4 linked regions of the Danio rerio genome follow. The protein of the gene in region 4 interacts with the protein of the main gene of each other region in a pairwise test. Links are inferred from orthologs where the notes say so. Each region holds a gene or a part of one and is shown on either strand. Other genes may lie near its edges.

What was found.
Region 1: the proteins of rnf5 (region 4) and slc38a7 interact in binary tests that used the Homo sapiens proteins (3 or more experiments, as listed by UniProt). The two-hybrid records come from large-scale screens. The link is inferred for Danio rerio from reciprocal best matches to the Homo sapiens genes RNF5 and SLC38A7.
Region 2: the proteins of rnf5 (region 4) and ube2kb interact in binary tests that used the Homo sapiens proteins (3 or more experiments, as listed by UniProt). The link is inferred for Danio rerio from reciprocal best matches to the Homo sapiens genes RNF5 and UBE2K.
Region 3: the proteins of rnf5 (region 4) and insig2 interact in binary tests that used the Homo sapiens proteins (3 or more experiments, as listed by UniProt). The two-hybrid records come from large-scale screens. The link is inferred for Danio rerio from reciprocal best matches to the Homo sapiens genes RNF5 and INSIG2.

Annotation. Positions count from the first base shown.
Region 1 is NC_133182.1:53,639,484-53,644,090, reverse strand, and holds the start of slc38a7 (sodium-coupled neutral amino acid transporter 7), read right to left. Parts: upstream 3,242-4,607; 5' UTR 3,171-3,241; exon of another isoform or gene 3,050-3,170; intron 1,318-3,049; exon of another isoform or gene 1,088-1,317; intron 21-1,087; exon of another isoform or gene 1-20. UniProt on the Homo sapiens protein: Symporter that selectively cotransports sodium ions and amino acids, such as L-glutamine and L-asparagine from the lysosome into the cytoplasm and may participates in mTORC1 activation. The transport activity requires an acidic lysosomal lumen.
Region 2 is NC_133176.1:24,896,134-24,900,773, forward strand, and holds the start of ube2kb (ubiquitin-conjugating enzyme E2Kb (UBC1 homolog, yeast)), read left to right. Parts: upstream 1-1,458; 5' UTR 1,459-1,911; coding exon 1,912-1,974; intron 1,975-2,626; coding exon 2,627-2,720; intron 2,721-2,816; coding exon 2,817-2,875; intron 2,876-4,640. UniProt on the Homo sapiens protein: Accepts ubiquitin from the E1 complex and catalyzes its covalent attachment to other proteins. In vitro, in the presence or in the absence of BRCA1-BARD1 E3 ubiquitin-protein ligase complex, catalyzes the synthesis of 'Lys-48'-linked polyubiquitin chains.
Region 3 is NC_133184.1:734,759-737,951, forward strand, and holds the end of insig2 (insulin-induced gene 2 protein), read left to right. Parts: intron 1-1,435; coding exon 1,436-1,535; intron 1,536-1,961; coding exon 1,962-2,003; 3' UTR 2,004-2,277; downstream 2,278-3,193. UniProt on the Homo sapiens protein: Oxysterol-binding protein that mediates feedback control of cholesterol synthesis by controlling both endoplasmic reticulum to Golgi transport of SCAP and degradation of HMGCR.
Region 4 is NC_133194.1:1,199,119-1,202,404, reverse strand, and holds the end of rnf5 (E3 ubiquitin-protein ligase RNF5), read right to left. Parts: intron 2,992-3,286; coding exon 2,937-2,991; intron 2,852-2,936; coding exon 2,740-2,851; intron 1,336-2,739; coding exon 1,217-1,335; 3' UTR 1,018-1,216; downstream 1-1,017. UniProt on the Homo sapiens protein: Membrane-bound E3 ubiquitin-protein ligase that mediates ubiquitination of target proteins. May function together with E2 ubiquitin-conjugating enzymes UBE2D1/UBCH5A and UBE2D2/UBC4.

The sequences.
Region 1 (4,607 bases), on a different chromosome or scaffold from region 4:
CTGGAAGTGCTTCGACATCAGTGAGTAATACACATTTATATTGTCATGCATACAGGATTTCTGTAAGCTTAGCTTTAATGTTAGTTTCTAATCAGTAGTGACTGTTTTAAAAAATTAAGTATTTAAATTATTCTCAACGTTTTACTGATGCTGTGCACAGTAACGTTATGATGATTTAGTTTGAGGAAATGTCACTAGAGGGTTTGTATAAAAAATAAATAAATAAATGAATTGTATGAAATGACTCGATAAAATGTTTATTTGTCTCGCTGACATGCCATCACTGCTGCATATTAAAATACAGTAATACGAATTGACCGCAGAATATTACCACAAACATTTCATGAAGTAGGCTAGACTGCTCTTTAGTTCTCTACTCAACTTTAACACATTTCCTCGTGTCGCTAAGCCTCTCTGCAGATTTTGCCAAAAATAAATGCTTAGTGATTACTTTGTTTTATGCAAACCAAATATCAGTAACTCATCATTAGCATTATTTTAAAAAATCACCCACGGCTTTCATGTTCTCTAACGCAATCTTATCTGTAAGTTAGAAGTGGATTTATACGTGTTAAAAGCCTAAAAGTATTTAATTAACATTAGTCACGTTAAATTAGATTATTTTTATTTATTTAATTTTAAATATGTAGCCTCTTAAAGTGAGAATAAACTGTGTTCACCCCTCTTAAATTCGTGGAAGCACTAGTAGTGTGATCATGGAATCAGATATTCGAGCTATACAGAGTCGGACATTAAGTTAAGATGAGACTTTATTTTTTACACACCTGTGTGGACACCTGAATAGCAATCTTTAAGAACAATGCCCGCTGATCTTTTCCCCATTAACGTTAGTGTAATTGTGAATTGACAAAAAACTGTATTTCACCAACAAAAACAATAAAAAAAACTGTTATATATATTTATAACTGTTATATATATTTATATATATATATATATATATATATATATATATATATATATATATATATAAAACAACAGTGCAGTGTTTCGTTTCTGAATGAATTAAATGGTTTGAGGGATGATTAGTTTTTACTTCAGTGATTGATTTTGCCTGTCATTTTTGCAGGATCATCAGAAGTGCTGCTGCCCTTTTTCACTGTCCCTTTCCACATCATTTGGCCTTCATCATTTCCTGTCTTGTAGCAGTATTTTCACCTGTTTTTAAAATTGTAATAATTTTTGATGCATTAATTGTTGACTGGTTTTAATGATCAATTGTTTATTAGTGTTCTGTTGCTTTGTTATATTGAATTATTGCTACTGTTTTAGCATGGTTTACACAATAAACCTTTATTGTGAAGTTAAAGTTTCAGTTTCTTTATTTTTCTTGTATTTCTTGAACAGTTAAAATAACACTTGTGCAATTTTTAAACATTTTTACCCATTATAAAGTAGCACTATTAAAAAAAATAAAATAACATTTAATAACTAAAATACTATACAGTAATAATGAAAGTAACGTTAAAATACCGTAGTTCTTCATGGTAAAAATGTACAATAAAATACTGTTTTCAGTTTTGCAGTATGTGTATCACTACTGTAATTGGTGTTACAGTAAAAATCAACAACAGTAAAATGATGTATTACATTTTACAGTAAATGTAATACTAATGTAATTAGTATTACAGTAATGTTACCGTTTTATGAAATACAGCAGCTACTGGATAATTGTTGCCAGTAACTTACTGTTGATTTAACAAGAAATCGTTTACAGTGAAGGTTATCATACCATCAGAATGTTATATTGGCCCATGCCTAATATGAAGATGTGTTTTTGTCAATCTAATCACAAGTGGACAAAGGAGAGACATTACTGTTCACACCTGGGGTTTAATTGGTTTATTTTGTCCACATCTGACCACTTCTCTTATGAAAGAGCATCTGTGGACTGGGGATTGGCTTTCTCTGATCTTTCAATCCAATGTTAGTACAGCAAAAGCTGGCACAAATTTACATAATTGAAAACAAAGACTAATGAATAATTTATGCATTGACTAATACAATTATAGGTAATTGCTTTGCTTTCATTCTGATCAACTCACTTTAATCAGTTTAACAGTTTTAACATGTATGCTTTTGTTTTTATTAAATCTGTGTGACAAATATTCTAGAACATTGAAAGTCATTAAAGTGAGGTGTTCTGATCCTTGAATTGCCACCTAAAAAGTTCCTGTTTTACCGGACCAATTCAGCAACACTTAGTAACATTGTGATATCTTGTTTTGTCCTTTGTTCATCCTCCATAGACAGCAATGTTCGTGAGACATCATCTGTGTTCCGAAGATAAAAGGAAGTCTCAAGGGACTGGAACAACTTGAGTAATTAATAACAGAGAAACTAATAACAGATTTTCATCTTTGGGTGAACCAAACCTTTAAGGTCATTATAAGATATTTAGTGTATTCTTTAATGAATGAATGATGAATGATAAAATGACAAACATCATAACCAAAGATAATCACGGTTTCACCCAGTACACCAAATCATAGTGTCATCAAAGCATATCAAAAGTCTTCTGGACATTAGTGAAAAATCACCAGGGCACATAACAGCTTTCACGAATTGACAAAAACAGGTGATCAGCAACCTCGACTGACAGTGTGGTTTGGACTTTAGGACAAGTCTGAGAGTCACGGGACATCATTGTATTTCTCAGCTGATCATCAGTAAGCAGAAATCTCAAGCATGCGATGAGGAAACGAAACGTGCAGTCAGCAAGAAAAAGATTACAGCACTGTCTGAGTCTGACCAAAAGATAATTAGCAGCCTATTCATTATCAGTTACTTCATGACATCTCTTAAGTAAAGAGAATAGCAGTTATGCTGTCTGACATAAGAGAAAGACTACACTAATACAGATTATGACAATGCTCACGCTGAGTTAATCAAGACATCAGGCCAACCCAATTAGGTCATTAGTCACGACTTATTTCACTTAAAAGTAATTTGCATCAAGCTCTACGTTCAGTGCTTTAAGCAAAAATAAAACAAATCAGAAAGGAATAAGTTATAAGATAAAACAACTCACGTGACTCGCATAACAACAGCGGTTTTGTTTAGCTAACAAACTCTCCAGGTACAAGCGAGGTGTGGTAAAGCAGCAGATGGTGTAAACCACCTCATGCGTTCATGCTTGGCTGATTCCGTACCGTGATGAAGAGCATAGGTCTACATAAGATTGCGTTTGAGCGAAGAACAGAGATGCAGATGTGACAGCGATGCTGTTGCTTCTTGTTCGGCGTTTCTATATTAGCTGCTGACACTGCGTACCTGGACGTCACGTGACATTGTCACATGACAGATTTAGAGCTTATGGGTAATGTAGTAGATTCTAAATAGTAACGTTATTCATTTTACCAAAAGATTATATATTAAACTGCATTCTTTCTAAAACTCTTTGGCAATCAACATTTTAGTGCGTTAGATGGAAATATTGATGTTGGAAAACATTGTATAAAAAGTAAATATTAATCCATGTCTTCTTATGGAGGACCAAAACTGCAAACACTAAATTTGTCCTTTTATTGTAAAACTGCATTTATGGCTGACTGTTTTGGATTGAAATGGATATCTTTCTGTAAAATAAAAATTTACAATAAATAAAACCAATAAATCTTTATCCAATCATACAGTAGGCACAGATCACCTTCAGACACAGGAATGGGCAAAAACTAGGGAAAATAAACATTTGTTGTTTAAGGGGGGAAAGTATAGTAAGTGCATCAGAGTTGTGTGTGAAACGTTTAATCTGGTTTAATTATTAAATTTAATTATTAAATATGGTTTAATTACAAATTGTCACACCTACCCATTTTTCAATGTGCATGCATTTACCTATTTTGGTTACTATTTGTAAACTGAAAGAAAGAAAGAAAGAAAGAAAGAAAGAAAGAAAGAAAGAAAGAAAGAAAGAAAGAAAGAAAGAAAGAAGATTAAGTAAGTTCAGATATTAAAACTGTTTATGAAAATGTTATAATAAAGGTATACATATTGCATCCTCTGTACTGCTGAGGATAATTTTCCAGCTTTGTGGAGTGAGTTACTGTAAACTAATTTCTTTATACAGTAAGTGCATCTTAAATGTAAATAGTTTTCCTGATATAATTTTTAAAGAAAAAATGTCTTATAAATAATATTTGGACAGAAAACCTACATTTAAATAAAATTATCTAGTTTCTGGACACCATTTTGTACACAATGTGTTTTTGATTCTTATAATGCATACAATAATGATCATGTGTTGGTTTGAAAAAGGGGTTTTACTATATTTATGGACTTGTTGTTGTTTCTAAAATAATACAAATACATCTTAAATTTAAATTCTTTTCAATAGACATAGTTTCTTAAAAGCTTTTTTCAATTATCTAAGAGATAACATCAACATGTTATACTTTGATACTGGTCTGATTTACAGTCGAAGGCAGAATTATTTATTAGTTATATTTTATGGGGCAGTACATAATTGTAAATAGATATATTTATCAAGATACTATTATTCAGTTAAAGTGCTTTTTCAGCTTAAATTAAGCTTAAAATGGTTCAAATAAAAAAATAAAAATAAAATAAAAATTAAAAACTGCTTTTAT
Region 2 (4,640 bases), on a different chromosome or scaffold from region 4:
TATATATTTAATTGTCTCCCTAATCTTATTCTGTGGCTTTAATATAGAAGGGCAGTTTCAGTCTTAATCTCACCCATTGACAAGATAACACAAATATAAATGCAAAGTACACAACTGTTAAAGATAATATAAAGGTCATCGATAGAGAAAATAACATCAAGTAAAAATCTGCAGTCAATTGGCATCTGAATTGATAGATGTATGAATAATGTGATGGCCAAATGTGGTCACACATACTTTGAAGTTGAATTACATTTTACCCATTCAAGGGAATACATAATCACCACAATGAGAAGTGAACACAAACACACACAGATACGAGATACAAACAACTGTCACACAAAGCTCCAAGAAGACTTTTGTGTACCAAACATCTGTCAGATTATGCCGCATGTTAAAACATTAACATGAAATGAAAAACATTTGTATGTTGATTGGGTTTCTGACTTTAAAGGCTGTAAATGTGTTGTGTTAGATGTCATGTAAAATATATTTTTTTTTTTCATTGTTTAGGTTTTTTTTCACATTTTTATTGGATAGTGGAAGTTGAGACAGGAATGTGTGGGGAGCAATCAGCAAAGAACATCAAGCTTAGACTGATTTAGGTCACCCCAAGCTCTTACTAGCTACTGACACTGAGCATATAAAATATCTCAATTTGTATTCCGAAGTTGAAGGTCCCAGGGAGTTGTAACAACACAAGGATGTTAAAGGTTAGTTCTACCAAAAATTCTGTTAGTAATTACTTATAACAGATTTTTTGGTAGAACTAACCCTTAAGGGCACCTCAGTCTCGGGTACTGAAAGTGGAAGAGAGCTCTGTTCATTCCCTGCCACACTGACAACTGGTATGCAACTTTTCAAGCATGGTTGATTTAACTTAATTTCAAATTGTTTATCAAATGAAAGGTGAAAAACGAAAAAAAGTTCTTATTAATAGATTTATATATATATATATATATATATATATATATATATATATATATATATATATATATATATATATATATATACACACACACACACACACACACACACACACACACACACACACACACACACACACATATATATATATATAGCATACAACACACCAAACAATTGTATTATTTTTAAACACTGTATTATTCACCATAGTGTAAACTTTTTATTTGTTAATTTTAATATATATGCTTTTTGCTGGCTGTATGTGGGCGGAGTAATACACAAAAGGTAAAGAGGCTGTACTGGTGCTGATATTACTTAAATATATCACGGCTATCAGCCAATCAGATTCGAGGACCTGACAGAACTGTTGTATATATATAAAAATAACTCAGATTTAGCATGGTATTATAATGGTGGTGAATACATATTGTATGCTACAAACGATTTATCTTCATGTTCCTGTTAGAATAATCAAAAAGGACCCATGTGATTTAATACTTGGTTTAAATAGTGTAGGCCTAAATTGTTTGCAAATTCAGTGAAAGGGGTGATGATGGACCGTATGCTCTGAACGCATCACGTGGGAGTAAAACAGATGCATCCGAGCTTTAGCAGCACGACATCATGTGACAGCACCACATCATATGGGAGTGAAACTAGATGTGAACGCATTCTGGATCTGTCAAGACTGAGCTCTGCTTTTCTGCTGCATAACACATCCACCTGATTCAACAAAGAAGGACAAACGCAGTGCTGTAGTGCAGTGTTTTAGTGTTCCAGGCTCTTATTTTGTTTACCGGTGCTTTTCTGGTGCTTTCCGTACTGTTTTAGGAGAGAGAGAGGGAGGGAGAGAGAGAGGGCGAAGGAGCGCAAGAGGGGTGTGAAAGTGAAGCTCTATCATTCTTTGCGGACTGGAGGCTCAAAAACAGCGGAAGAGAGAAGGAGAGAGAGAGAAAGAGTGAGAGAGAGAGGAATCAATCAGCCATGGCAAATATCGCTGTGCAGAGGATCAAGCGAGAGTTTAAAGAAGTGCTGAAAAGCGAAGAGGTTTGCAAAACGCTACTTTACTATATTTTCCTGCCCGTTAAGAACAAACAGAAGGACTTTTGGCGATGAACACACAAAACCCAATGAGCTAGCCTAGCATGCTAAGCTAATGTTAGCATGAGCTGTCATATGATGGACTTAAGATACGGAAGTCACACTTCTGACAAATTTGCTTCTCTCGATGTAATAAAACGAAAACATAGACCTAAATGTTTAATTCATTCATGAACATGTCAGAGTATTGTTAAATTTGTGCTGGCACACATCGAGCTTAAGCCATGGAGCTATTTGACATAGTTAGCCGGCTAGCTTCACCAACACTTCTATAGTCTGCAATAACAGCACTCGCACTCAGTGTTTTAAGGTTGGTTTTCTGTTTTGAAATGCCCATTAGTGGTTTACTGATCGTGTTCCTACGTTTTTGTGTGTGTTGGTGTCAGTTAACAGGGCAGCTAGGATGTTCTTTTTTTAAGTAATGCAGCACCTTTGACAGACAGCATTTTTGGGAATCATAGACTCATATCATACTGTCTTTTAAGGGTGCTTATTATGTTCAGAAGACAGCTTCATAACTTGACTATACCGGTTGTTTCTTTGTTCAAGCAACTATGGTACTCCTTACTAAATACATTTTTGTTTTGCTTTTTAACAGACGAGTAAAAATCAAATAAAAGTAGATCTGGTGGATGAAAACTTCACAGAGTTAAAGGGAGAAATAGCAGGACCGCCAGACACACCATATGAAGGTAATGAGAGCCTTTACATGATGTTTCTTTAATGTTTGCTTGGAGATTAATGCTGGAGATAAGATTATAACAGGCTAACGTTTTTTTTTCTCACAGGGGGAAGATATCAACTAGAAATCAAGATCCCTGAGACGTATCCATTTAATCCACCCAAGGTAATTCAACAAGTATTCTTTCTGCTGTTTTTACATATAATATTGCCAAAATATTTTACATAGACATACTATTAAGAAAAAGGAATGTTATTAATATAAAAATAAGTAGATAATAGTGTAACATGGAATTAAAATAACACGATGAATGAATGAAAGGGGATACAAATGTTATTTATCCAAAATAAATATAAAAATATATTTTTTTATTTTGCGATATATATATATATATATATATATATATATATATATATATATATATTGCAATATGAATACAATTTTATCAATGACTTAATAACTCAATTTTTAATCTTAGATCAACTGGAATGACTCTGCAGTGGGAGTGCATCTCTATAAAATCTAAAATTAATAAATAAATAAACAATTGTTGTGATCTTTGCTATTTGCAGTGCATTTCTGTATTTGCATATGTTGTGAGTATTTTCATACATGACAATCTGTAAATGCAGTCAAGACAAAGATGTTATTCAAATAAAGGGGTTTGTTGTTTCCCAGGTCTAACAGTATTTAAGTACAGTAACTGAATGATAAAAATAAAAACCATTCAATAAGGTCACAAATAGTTCAAGTTCTTATACCCAAATGCTTTTAAAAACATTAAACAATCACAGGCGTCAAAAACATATGCACATGATGAACTATAATACAAACTCATCATTGCCTATCATGCGATGTGACTATTGCAAATGATCACATTGCGAAATCGATGCTAAAGCGATATATTGTGCAGCCCTATTATGAAGTTAAAAGTTCCATAACATTTGCATCTGGATGATCTTTGTTTATATTCATTAAGGCAGTAGTGGGTTAGTAATGTTCAGTAATCGACTGTACTGCTGTAATTTAGTTGTCTGGATTTGATTAGCATGCAAAGCCTTTTAAAGACATCGGGTTAAAGAGTTTAAGTATTTCACTTAAGTTCAATATTGATTCACATTTAGAATTAAGAGAGAAAGCTAAAAGTAATACTTTGTGAACTAACCAAACTAGACATGAGAAGAAGGATCACATGAACAACTGTTAAAGTGTTCAAGTAAATCTCTCTTCTCTTTGTCTTTAAGTCTAGAGGGGTCATTGCTAGTTTGGAGGAAAAAAAATAAAATAAAAAAAAAAAAGATCCAGATTTTATATTATTGACATTGATTATTTTTTTCCTTTGCGCCAGGCTATGATTAGTCAGAGGATATCAGACATGTTTGAAATTTTAAACAGATTTTAGAACATATACATTATCATTTGTCTTCAAGTAATGATATGAATGTTTCGTCTGCTGTTTATTATGTTCCAAATAAAATGAAAGTTTATTAACGTGTAATTCTCAGTCGTTTGATCTGCAATGCCCCAACAATTGATTAATAAACCAGTAAGTAACAGTTAAAAAAAAAGTTGCAGCTGAACCTAATCTTGCACTTACTCTTGGTAACATTTAAATGCCTTCTTGTATTTGAATATAAATTGGCAATCACAAAGTACTTACACATTTCAATTTATTTCGATATGAAAGCAGATATCCAATGTGTGACTCCTGTTCTGTACATTTTTTTTAACTGCTGGGAAACCTTCTAGAAGATATTTAAATAGACAGAAATCTTTAGTCAAGGATGAGACACATTTTGAAGTCTGATTCAAATTACATGCAGTGTTTTTACATGCATAGAAAGCATATTAAAATGTTAGCTTTAATATTAATAATAATCTTTTAATAAATGTTGCAATAATGCCCCAAAGGGTGGCACGGTGGCTCTGT
Region 3 (3,193 bases), on a different chromosome or scaffold from region 4:
AGATCGCCTATGATTTACTCCCCCTCAAGGTATCCTAGGTGTGCGTGACGTTCTTATTTCAGTCGAATCCAATAGAAGTTGTGTTAAAATGATGTTGGTCTGCTCCAGCTCTACATCAGCAGCACTCTAAGCAATTTAAAAGAAGTCTAATAAAGTGCATCTATCCATAATAAAACATGCTCTACTTTAAGGGAATCCCTGCATTTCTGTATAGAAAAATCTCCAAATGTAAAGCTTTATAAACATTCTGATGTAACCTCAGGCATTTGTCATCATTGCTGCGTCCCGATCCACACACTATCCGTCCTAAATAGCATTTGAAAATAGAATTAGTATGTCCCAAACCATAGTGTTCAAAAGAGAATGCCAGAGGTTCCTGGATGGTTTGCTATTTCTGGTAAAAAAGTTAAGTATAGAAGCGTACTCTAATGGCTGATATTGCCCACAATACATTGCACACGAATTCGATTAGAACTACAAACGCATGTGAAAAAATGTAAACAAACTACAAACATTATGGACGCGCGAGACCAACCATCAAGTAGAGAGAGGCTTCGGTAAAGATGTTTGAATGACTTAGTCAATATCTAGTCCACTGGAACATATTGAAATCACATTATCTGTGTTATATTTCATCTGCAACAACAATACTGAACGTATATAAAGGTGAGTTTGAACGTCTGAATGCATAATTATCCAAAGCCCTGATGAGATTTCTGCATGAAAGGCTCGTGAATGGGAGATTAACCTGCTGCTGCTCCTTTAATAAGGTGGGAAATTAAATACGACAGAAATGCGGATGGTGTGTGGATGATTGATAGGGCTCATAACCAAGCAACACAACGATCTGTTACAAGGTAGTAGTATGTCCAAAAGCTCTCATACTCGTCTGTTGCACACTCGAAAGTATAAACTTTTCCTTCACAAAAAAAGTACATACTTTTAGGGCGTAGTATAAGTATGTGAATTGGGCCGCAGCACTTCTTTTGAGTTGCATTTCTTTGGTGCATTAGTGCCCCCTGCTGGAGAGGATAAATAAAACACACGTCTGTCCAGCTGAGGGCGCTCATGCTCCATAAATACACTAAGGAGAAAAGACTGCGGGTGGTATTATTGGATGCACTGTACTGGACTTTTGGATTCATGCACATGCAAACTCACACACTCCTTGACACACACTTAACTTACACACACAGACACACACTAAAACTTACATACATGTGCACACACACACACACACACGCACGCACACACACACACACACTTGTGCAGTATTTATGGTCTCCTCATAGCTGTAATGATGTTTCTACTGTACAGACTGTATGTTTCCTCCTCACCCCCAACACTACTCCTAAACGCAAGCCTCTCACACACACACACACACACACACACACACACACACACATCAGCGAGTGTTTAATGTGTGTTTGCGCAGATACACGTCTCCTGATTTCCTCTACATTCGCTCCTGGCTGCCGTGTATCTTCTTCGCAGGAGTCATCACTGTGGGCAATATAGGACGACAGCTGGCTCTGGTAAACTATCACACACACACACACACACACACACACACACACATACACATATTGGTGTTAGTGGTTTACAAGGACTATAGGAGATATTCATTAATTTTCTGCCACAGCAGAATGAACCGGCAACTTATGCAGCATATGTTTCAGGCAGCGGATGCCCTTCCAGCTGCAATCCGTCACTGGGAAACACCCATACACACTCACTCACACATACACTACGGCTAGTTTAGTTTCTCAATTTCCCTAAGCAATGATTTTGATGCATTGTCAGGTTATTTTGCTTGATATTTTTTACTTGTCCAAAAATGCTTCTCGACTTAAAAATGTTGAGATACTTTCAAACTAAGAAACTCATTTTTTGTGGTGCACCTGTTCTAACATGAGCCGTTTCTCCGTGTGCTGCCTCTGAAACGGTGTTTCTCCCTGCAGTACGAGTACAAAGTGAGTCAGGAAAAGAGCCACCAGGACTGACGGAGGATCCTCTGGAGGGTTCTGTGTTTGAGGATGGACAGTGTTTATAAAGCTTCTCCTGCCTCCTCTGACCGTAATCATCATCATCATCATCTTCATCACACTCACTGAAACACTACTGACCACAGCAAAAGTGCCAAACAGACTCTCACGGCCGAGAGCGAAGCCTGTTCATCCGCACACATCACAGTCATCTCCACTCATACGGGCGGAGGAGACGCATCTGGAGGAAAACACAGACACTGCTGGATCTCATTCATCAGGGAATGTTCAAGTGTGTGTGTGTGTGTGTGTGTGTGTGTGTGTGTGTGTGTGTTCACCCAAAAAATCAAAATACCTTTGTTAATTAATCATCCAAGTGTCATTTCAATCGCCTGAGAGCTTCGTTCATCTTCAGGACACACATGAGGATATTTTAGATGAAATCTGCTTATATATATATTGAGTTCTTGGAACTAGAATTGCCATAAATATATAAAATGATGCTGATGTGTCGGTGCCGATAGCCCACATATAGCAGCATGGTGCTCACGGCGACCCGAGTTCAATTCCCGGCTCGAGGTCCTTAGCCAGCCCTACTAATAGTATCTGCATGCAGCCTTTATGATGCAAGCTGAGATTGCATCACTCTGCGATGCAATGTCAGACACAATGCACTCAAGTGGAGCAAGTGACATCACTGTTAGGGGTGGGGTTAGGGGTGGGGTTAGGTGAGCTCATTAAAAAGCATTGGATGCAGCTCAGATTGCACTGCACCAGGTCTGCAGCCAGACTCCTCTCAGCCCTACCCCTCTCTCTGCTCCCAATACATTCCTGTCTGCAACCTCTACTGTCTTTTCCAAATAAAGGTGAGAAACCCCTAAAATAAGATGCTGATATGACATAAATAAATGGATAAATTAAAATATTTCTATATTTGGACTAGAAAAAGGAGAAGAGGAGAAGAAACTGAGTGTTATTTTTGTTTCATGAGCACACTCAAGTATCAGTATGGCTTGATGAAACTCAGATTGAACCACTGTAGACACGTGCTCTGTTCTGAGGATGTTTTTGGTCTGTTCTCTTGCTGTTTATGGAGGACGAGAGCTCCAGGATTTCATCTAAAATAGCTTTGTTTGTGTCTGAAGATGAACGGAGCGACTGAAACAGCATGAGGGAATTAATGACGGTGTTTTAATTTAGTGTGAACT
Region 4 (3,286 bases):
TATGCATGACAATTAAAAACTTGATTTATATACTTCCAAATATATAACAACAGTGAAAAACTGAAGAAAATGTATTATAATAACAAAAAAAAAACAAAAAAACTAATAGTTAAGGGGAACAAATAAAAATTGTTTCATTATAATAATAGCAAGAAGAAGAAGAGTTTAGGGCATAATATCATCTTTTTTTACATTACTATTGTAATTAGTATAATGCAGAAAAAAACACAATATCCCGTAAATTATAATAATTTTTCTTCTTCTATTATTATTTATAATAATTTATAATATTTATTAAAAAAATCATTTATAATAATTATAAAAATTTTATACAATATTATTATAATAATTTTTCTTCTTTTATTATTATTATTATTTATAATAATTTATAATATTTATAAAAATCATTTATAATAATTATAAACATTTTATACAATATTATTATAATAATTTTTCTTCTTTTATTATTATTATAATTATTATTATAATTATAAAAGAAGAAAATTTTATACAATATAAAGGATATCATAATAATGATTTAATAATAATAATAATAATATAGTAGTAGTAGTAAAGATGATATGCTAAATTTTACATAATAATAATATTAATAATAAAAGAAGAAAAATTATTATAATTTAGGGGGTATCATAACTGTTTTTACATAATAATAATAATAATAATAATAATAAAAAGAAGAAGAATTCATAATTATAATGTGGGTGATATCATAAAAATCCTTTCATAATAATAACAATATTAATAATAGAACAAAAACAAGGAGAATAATTTAGAGTATATCATGAAAAATAATTTCAAAATGAAAAAATAAACTTACATATTTGATCTAAAAGTATTAAACTATTAACATTTCTCGCATTAATTTTATGACAAAATATTTATATGAACTGGTTAATGTTTTACAAAAATCCTCAATAAAGCAACAAACGATTAGAAACAACCCAAAATGCAAATAAAGCGTGATCTACTCCAGTGAAAGTGAACTGAAGTCTGATTAGAGTGAAGAGAATGAGGAGATGAGCGTGTTTAATGATCATTATAGTAGAAATGAAGCCTTCTCGCGGGGTTACAGCTGAAACTCTGCATGTTTTGCTGAGATTCTTCAGCTGGTGTAGTGTTTGATCTATTCACGCTAATACTGTGCATGTGTGTGTGTGTGTGTGTGTGTGTGTGTGTGAGTGATACGTGTGTTCGTTCAGACGCTCAGGATCCAGAAGAAGAAGAAGATGGCGAGGAAGAGGAAGAGCGAGTCCTGCCAGTTGTTGCCGTTGTTTGCGTTTTCGTTGGCTTGCTGATCTGCTCCGTAATGAGCGTCTGAATCAAGATGAAAAATAATTCATATGTAAATGAGAGGTTATTCAATGAAACATCAGATCATTTGCATGCTTTTCTAACACACATTAATTAGAATGTTAGATGAAGTCAATTGGTTTTTAACTTAGTTATTTTATTTACTTTAATATTTACGTTATTAGAGAGAAGAGCTTTTACTAAGCGGATTTTAGGAATCCAAACTATCATTATTTTAATTTCTTTAATTTAATTTATGCTAGTTTAGCAGTAAAATTCAATTTTACAGAGAGGATTTTATTATTTTTAATCATTATTATTTTATTAATTACATTTACTTTTTCTTAATTTAGCATTCCTCATTTTAACTGAGAGGATTTTAGGAATCTAAAGTTTAATTTTAAGTTTAATATTTGTATTATTATAATCTTATTTATTATTTTATTTTATTTTTGTTAATTTAGCATTATTATTCATTTTTAGAGAGGATTTTATCAAACCAAACTTTTATCATTATAATTTTTTTTACTTTATTATTAGAAGTTTGTTTATAATTTTTTCAAATTATTTTAATCTAGCATTATTGTTTGATTTTACAGAGAGGATTTTAGGAATCCAAACTTATATTATTATTATTTTATTAATTATATTTATTTTCATTACTTTTTTTTTAATTTATTATTCTTTTAGGAATCCATGCTTTTATTATTTTTATCATTATAATTTTATTTATTATTTATTTTTGTTAATTTAGCATTATTATTCCTTTTTACCGAGAGGATTTTAGGAATCCAAACTTATATTATAATAATTTATTTTATTATTATAATTTTATTTATTATTTTATTTTAAATTATATATATATATATTTTGGTTAATTTGGCATTAATTACACGCTATTGCGTTTTTTATTTATTCATTTTTACAGAGAGAATTTTAGGAATCCAAACTTTCATTCTTATAATTTTATTTTAATATTATAATTTTATTTTTGTTTGATTAATTTAGAATTATTTACATGCCGTAGCAGTTTTTATTTTTATTTATGATGAGTATATTTTTAGTTTTTTTTTACAGAGAGAATTTAAGGAATTCTGAAAATATTGTGGCCAAATAAATAAATAAATAAATAAACAAATAAATAAATAAATAAATATCTTTCATCACATCTTATTTCAGAAAATACTGTGACCAAACCTTTATTATTATGGGTTACTGTAGCATTATTTATATGCTATTTCAGTTTTATTTACATTTGTAATGTGTATTTGTCTTTTTTATTTTTTTTTATTTTTAGTTTTTACAGAGAGAATTTAAGGAACTCCAAAAAGCATTGTGGCCAAACATTAATGATGATCTTATACTTTATTATTTTAGATCAGACTGTAAAGCTTGATAGTGGACATTAACATGAAGACGAGCTCTGACCTGCTCTGTGGAAAGGGTTGTTGGTGTTAAAGACTGTGGTGAAAAAACCAAAAGGAAAAGCACCGATCCCGAAAGACATGTGAAAGCCTGTGTCTCCAAAACCCTGAAACGGCTGCACACACACACATCAGGAGAATATTAATACAGTTATAATCATCACACTGACATTAATGAGAGAGTAACGAGATCACACTCACTCCTCTGCTCTCCGGCTCTGACCTTTGACCTTGAGGTCGAGGGGGCGTTTTCAATCTGCAACACACACACACACACACACACACACACACAGACAGACAGACAGACAGACAGACACACACAGACAGACAGACAGAAAAGATGTTTAACATCATATTCAAATGAACACACCGTATTTTACTGCATCTGTTGCATTAACATCAAACATGCGGTTTTATGACAAACACACATGTGAAAACAACGAATATTAAATAAATAAATAAATACTAATTATGTCATTTTGCAATCTAATATAAAAGGTTGATCTTATGATTATTACAGTGAAATATGACTGGATGTTTTCTAGTTATTA